Arabidopsis thaliana: one gene and its partner. The protein of the gene in region 1 interacts with the protein of each later gene in a pairwise test. Each region holds a gene or a part of one and is shown on either strand. Other genes may lie near its edges.

Region 1 (3,362 bases):
TGTTTTGTCACCCTAGAAAGTAGTTAACAAATCTATCATAATTTATAAGTTCATAAATCGCAATTAACAATTGGTTTTCTTGATGTTCCAAATCCAAATTTATAGAAGCCACGTGAGCCATGCGGTCCCAAATATCCAAATACAGACAGATTCGTATTTCGAATCATCTGACACGAATATTCTTCATGGTGTTGCAATGACGATACGTGTATTCGTTTTCTTCATGGTTTCAAGAAATTTTGTAACAAATGCTGAAAGATGATGCACCAAGTTTCTATCAAAAAAATTGGACTGACTTTTATTTTTGACAGCCAGCATTTTTCTACTGATCTATATATAATTTAACTAGATATACATAGATTATTTTATATTCGAATGTTTACTTTTACTTTACATATAATTGAACTCATACTGTAAATATCAATAACACTTCCATCTAACTTAAGTGACTTCTAATTTTCAAAATTAAGAAAAATCCAAGCATGAAATTTTTCATGAAACGTGAAAGTATAGAGAAAAGAGTAATAATCAATTAACTTCAGTGCCGATAGTATATAAATTTGGGATAGCTGCCGAAAGCAAACAAATATATATAGTTGGGTCGGATCATTTCAGGGATTTCCTTATATAATAATTACTAAGCCCATTATAGCCCATAGTTTTATATACACACCTCACATTCCACACAAACACATCCGTTGAACAAATAATCGGCCCATTTATGGCCCATTATATACACCACACATGACATTTTCAACACAAACACTTTCAGGTCGGAGAAGCCGTGGAAATGACGGCGAGATTCTGTAGATTCGACTTAACGACCGTATCCACAAACATCCTTGTATCTTCTTCCGTGTTACCTTGTGGTATATCAACAATGTAAGACTCCAATACCACACTATACACTCTCTTCTTCTTATCCTTTTCCAAGACGACGAACTCGTTGACCGATGTAACCGACCGGTAATTATTTAACCGGTGTTCTCCTCCAAGAACACGAAAACTCAAGATTCGTTTCTCTTCGTCAAGAACTTCGAGTATCTCAACGCTTGTTGACGCTGGAAGACCAGAGACCACGCTAACTTCCCTTATAGTCCCAACTTTAATCTCTTTGATGCCGTTACCGTTAACTCTGATGGTGCAACTCTTGATGAAGTGTTTGTATTTGTTTGGATTGGCGAAGTCGCGGACGAATCTCCATATGGCATGTGCCGGTGCGTCTACACGGTGTGCTATGAGTGATGTGCACGTGTTTGGCGATCTTGGGAACGTGTGGTGTGTTCGGATGATGGAGTCTAGTGTTGAGAACTCGTCCTTTGTTAATCCGTATGGTGTTGACGATGATGTTGTTGTTGTTGATGATGATGATGGATCATGGATTGGAGCAAGATTCATGGTTTTGGGTGTACTTTAATTTTGAGAAGAAAATTGTGTACGAAACTAGGACTAATTCTCTTGACATACGTATATATATAGATATATAATGTGTTATGACTAATATTTGGAGTTGGGCTGCACGAAAATGCCTTTGTCATTTGGCTTTTTAGAAAATTGGGTGTACAAGTGTGAACGTGACATCAAATCTCATTATTGTATGACTCATTGGATCCTTCAGAAGCTACCTATAGATCAACTTTTTGGATAAACAATACGAAAATGAAGCATCAAAATGGAATCTAAACTAAATTTGTTAAATTGAATATGATATGCAAGACGTAGAAGAAAGATCAACGCCCCTATTAAGGGTGTATATGGTGGAAGAAGAGTTGTTTCTGATTTAGACTTTCGTATGGGCATTGGTTTGTATGCAAGTTGCGTGTATTACAAAGAAAAAACAAATCAAGATTAGTGTAACTTTGAGTTGAGCCCATGTCCAATACACTACACACAATATGTAAATTTTATTTTGTTGACTTTAGTCCATACTCTAATCAACACGTGATGTGCACGTGATAACGAAGTAGTGATGTTGTCGTCAAATCCGAGCCGTTTACTTTTCCGGCCATGGGGGCTTGAATTTGCCGGTACGATAGCGATAGCTTCTTAAACCAATTTGATAGTTTTTGGTAGCTTGTCCTTTTCAAATCTGGGCTTGTTAAGGAACATCAAGTTAGGAAATTGATTGGTATACTTCAACTTCTTCTTGTTGCAGTCTGTCTCTGATGTGGTGATTGTATCCGTCAGGTTTCTATGATACAGTATGCAAACCCGGCATTAGTTCACCGGAACCGATGTCTCCCGGTTTAGGAGTTGAATTTTGCTAAAACCGGCTAAAAAGTGCGCAATTTGGCCAAGCGTACTATTGCAGAAGAGGGACGATGGCGATGACAAGCTGGCCATCAACGGGAAGACAAAGAAGACATCAATTGGCTTCCATGTTGCTCCTGGTTCTTGTAGTTGTCGGAATCTATGTTCCTGTCTTCGCTCTTCTCCCTTCACTGTCATATACTCCTCAGTCTCTACCTTCTGCTATACCTCAGGACGAGAAGGTAAGCATGATTCATACTTCAGTGCTTTCTACTAATTGCTTCGTTTTAGTTGGAACCGAAATCAATGTAAACGTTCTAAACTTTCAGTTTTAAGAGATGCAGATGATATCTCGCAAGTTTTATATCAAGGATGACAATTTCTGGAAAGATGGGAATCGTTTTCAGATCATTGGTGGTGATTTGCATTACTTTCGTGTTCTTCCAGAGGTACATGTGTCTTTATAACAAGTAATCCATATGATTGCTAAGTAAGAAATCTTCAATATTTTCTGCTGTTAACCATCATTATGTTATGTTTATAATATATATGATTTGATGAATTAATGCCAGATTATGGATGCAGTACTGGGAGGATCGGCTTTTAAGAGCCAATGCTTTAGGCTTGAATACTATTCAAGTATACGTTCCTTGGAATCTGCATGAACCAAAGCCTGGGAAGATGGTTTTTGAGGGTATTGGTGATCTTGTCTCCTTTCTCAAGCTGTGTGAGAAACTAGATTTTCTGGTTATGCTACGTGCTGGACCTTATATCTGTGGAGGTCTGTGTTGTTGTGATTCTTATTGAGTTGATACCAATGTTTTTTACCACATTATGTGGAAGATTTGCTTATACAACGGAAAAAGTTCTGATACATGTTCCCATCTCCATGACAGAATGGGATTTGGGAGGCTTTCCTGCTTGGTTACTTGCTGTGAAACCACGTCTCCAACTAAGGACATCAGATCCTGTATATCTTAAGTTGGTAAGTTATCAGTTAAATGAAGTAAGTAGTAGATAGATAGTTGGAGTTGCAGTTAATCAGCTTGCAGTGTGCATTATTAATCTAAGATATATACACATTCATAGTTCCATGTTTGCCTCTTTAAGTT
Region 2 (3,595 bases), on another chromosome or scaffold:
CCACTACAACTTCTTGGTAGATTCATGTCAATCTCTTGGCGAATCTTGGTCACCACTAGAGGGTTTTCGGACAAAAACCAAAAGAACCAAGTGAGAGCAGAGGCAGTGGTATCTCTCCCAGCTAGAAGTAAAGCAAAGACATTGTCTCTTAAGAATTTATCATTGATAGGATCCAAGAGCTGGTACTGGGTTGTATCAAGCTTTATGTGAGATGTCAAAAGATTTGCATGACTATCTCTAATGAAATGATCATTATTATTCACTTGTGATCTTTTTACCTCTTCTCTCCTGGCTGATATGTATTTCCCACACACTCGATCAAAAATGGCACCAGCTTCTATCATCTTCTTCTCCATCCCAACTCCGATCCAGCTTTGTAGCTTCCACGAGAATCTAGGTTTAACGTGCCTATACATTATTCCTTCTACTATTGTGTCGAGAGCTTTAGCAGACTCAACCTCTGGCGTTTTAGCAGACTCATTTTTAATCTCATTTTGATTTATTTTTTAAAAATGATAGGATAGTTCCATTAATTACCAAAATGTTTGACAGAAACATAAAATTGAAATTGTGCTCCCAATTCTTTTACAAATCTTACTTAACCTAAATCAGGAATCAAACTTACTAAAAACTAAAAAGAAACTAGAACTAAGAGTTAAAATTCCTTAAGTCTCATGACATGAAGACGGAGATGAGTTCCCTGAGCCACCCAAAAACTGAAGCTCTCTCTTATCATAAATCTCCAACGAAAAATCCCTCAGCGGTTGCGTCGTTCCGCCACCGCTCGTTTCCATCTCCGCCTCAGCGTCTGAAGCGTTTGAGACATAACTAGACACCGGTCTAGCACCAACATTCAGAAACGGAGCTGTAGCAACGGTAGGAATAGCCCACATTTGGCCCATTTGATCCGGCCCACCAGTAACAAACGCAGTACCCATACCCATAGGCCAAAACGGCACAAACCCCTGTGTATTAACGTTCAGGATATTAACGCCGTAGTTTGACGCCGTTATCGGAGCTAACCCAGAAGTAACGGAGCTATGACAGCTGTCATTAACGTCTACGAAATCGCTCGTACAGTTTCTCTTCCTCCGTTTCTTTATTAGGTCACCGTCACCGTCACGGCCGCCGTCATTCAACACTGGAGAGCTCGTCGGGATTTTTAAAGTTCCGTTAACCGATACAGCAATAGCCGGTACAGTTCCGGTTCCGGTTGCTTCAATTATCGCCGGTTCAGCTCGTTCCAATAACCACCGTATCGTTTCTCCGTCGGATTTGTGACCAAGTTCACGGGTCAATTGAAAGACCCGAGCAGCGCAACCCGCCGGCATTCGGATCCTCCGACCTCGTCCTTCTACTTTCGTGTGACGGTCTTTAGAAGTCGGTCTCTTCGGAGCCGGTTTAGTCTTCACCGGCTGCAAATACCCGTCTTCTTGTTTCATGAGCATCATACCCGGTTTGGTTTTCGGATTCGGGTCAGACAGATGGGTCATGGTTGTTACTTGGTCAATCACTTGTATCGCGTTGCCTTCGTGATTCGATTCCATTTACCACAAAACCCTAGAATATCTGAATGTCACAAAACTTCAAAATCAGCCGAAGAATTGATTCAAGTAGGATATAGTCAAAATGTTTAGTTTTTACTGATTCTTTTGACGAAAAATGTTATCTGTTTGAATTTGACAGATTGAAAACTAAAGAACAGTGGATAAAAAAAAGTGAGGAAACCCTACAAAGGTAGAAAAATAAAATTAAAAAACCACAGCTAACCTTATCCTCTGCACGAAGAACCCTACAAAGATGGAAGAAGGGGCCCTCAAGATCATCGTTTTTATTTTTATATAGTCCCATTACAAATCAACGGTCTAGATCACATACTTCATATGGGCCTGTTTTAGCTAACTAATGGGCCTTGGCCTCGACCACATCACAAGAGTCATGTTGTGGAGCTAATTTTTTTTTTTTTATTGATAGTTGTACAGTTGAACCGGTTTCCATTTAAGAAGTGAACCAAACCAACCGAATTGGACAAAACCGAGCCATAACTAGGGCAATACAAAACTTAGCTATCTCAAAACTGAGTACTATTGACAAGTGCAGCTTATGTTCATTTCTGAGTATTATTGACAAGTAAAACCATTATTGTCTTGGTCTGAATTCTATCACCAAAACGACTAGTCTCTATTTTGATAGCATGTTACTGTTTTCGTAAAAACCAATTTGGTGTACCTAATCCCTTGTTGATTTTGTTGTATACAAGGTTGAAAAACTTTGGTCCCCACGAGAAGATTGGAACTGCGTAGTAAAACAAATAGTGCATGATTTACAACACCAAGATTCCAAACTACTCGGTAAATATTCTTGCAAGCTTAGGGTAAGCTTTATAAGAAATGATGGCAACAAAAAATGTCAATTACTAAGCATGACTCTCGAAGACTAGAGTATGAAGCTTGGAAATAAGGTTTCACCCGCCAAAAAGAAAACAATTCACTATTCATTATTTAATACTATATTTATAAGTTAAAATTATCAACATTGGTCATTTGTAATAATCTTTTGATGTTGACTACTAAAAAAATAGATTAAATAAAAGTATTATTCCATATTTTTATAATAGATTGATGTTTGGGATTTTTTCACATATTAAAAAAAAAACATTATCTAATCATTAACATTTTTTATATTAAATATTTTTAAGTTTAATTATGAGCTAATAAAATTAAAAGTTTAATTATTTTCAATCATTGCATTTTGAAATTTAGTATTTATCATACTAAAAATAAAAATAAAAATAACATCTAGAAAATCATTTGTGCAATAAATTTTATAAAATCAAAATTTTTAACAACCGAAGAAATATATAGCTGATATGGGTTTATTTTAGTTATTGGGCATTCATTTGCCCCGTTCATATCTACTTGACATCTAGGAATGAGCGAATTGTAAATAAATATATATGAGCTACCTTTTTTCGAAAGTTAATTATTTTTTTTTGAATCAGTAGCAAAATCAAAATTAGTGGGAGATAGAGGTGCTACTTGGACGCTAATGTTGACGCTGACTTTGTACTGAACAAAAATCAAAATTTTCATTGATACTTGAACCGGTTCTGATGTAAGAAGTGAACCAAAGCAAACCGAGCCAAAACTAGGCTATATGTTAACTAGACTACTTCACGGTTCTTATGTTCAAAAACATGAACTCCACATCTCACACTCTCTTTATCAACAAACTCTGAATCCAAAAACCGAGCAACGAATATCCAAAGTTTATAAACATCTTCGAAATTAGCAAGAAACCCTAACGCAGCAGTGAGAACAGAGATCCTTGGTTCGTCGACGTCTCTGTTTCTTTTCTTCTCAAAAACTCTATCTTTCACGCCTTCGTAGTCTTCTTGGAACAAGATGTTCTTCAAGAAACTTTTACCGAGTGAGATGTTGCTGCATTCGGCTAACTTCTGCACGATAAAAGGTTCGATTTTTTCGCCTTTATGGTTGAATAGATTGAACGCAACCGCTGGTCCTCGATTGAAATTAACTTTCGGACCGTAGATTTTAACTAGACGACTAGTTGTTGAATGTTTGAGTTTGTAGAG

The links. Proteins that work in one complex are often made in the same cells at the same time.
Region 2: the proteins of PYL3 (region 1) and AT5G51910 interact in binary tests that used the Arabidopsis thaliana proteins (3 or more experiments, as listed by UniProt).

The regions. Positions count from the first base shown.
Region 1 is NC_003070.9:27,461,128-27,464,489, reverse strand, and holds PYL3 (PYR1-like 3), read right to left. Parts: upstream 1,508-3,362; 5' UTR 1,399-1,507; coding exon 769-1,398; 3' UTR 522-768; downstream 1-521. Other genes in the region: BGAL17 (beta-galactosidase 17), read left to right, coding at 2,322-2,492, 2,595-2,699, 2,836-3,031, 3,147-3,235. UniProt on the Arabidopsis thaliana protein: Receptor for abscisic acid (ABA) required for ABA-mediated responses such as stomatal closure and germination inhibition. Inhibits the activity of group-A protein phosphatases type 2C (PP2Cs) when activated by ABA. Can be activated by both (-)-ABA and (+)-ABA.
Region 2 is NC_003076.8:21,094,039-21,097,633, forward strand, and holds AT5G51910 (TCP family transcription factor), read right to left. Parts: upstream 1,854-3,595; 5' UTR 1,771-1,853; intron 1,665-1,770; exon of another isoform or gene 1,570-1,664; 5' UTR 1,548-1,569; coding exon 666-1,547; 3' UTR 528-665; downstream 1-527. Other genes in the region: AT5G51900 (Cytochrome P450 family protein), read right to left, coding at 1-416; AT5G51920 (Pyridoxal phosphate (PLP)-dependent transferases superfamily protein), read right to left, coding at 3,164-3,595.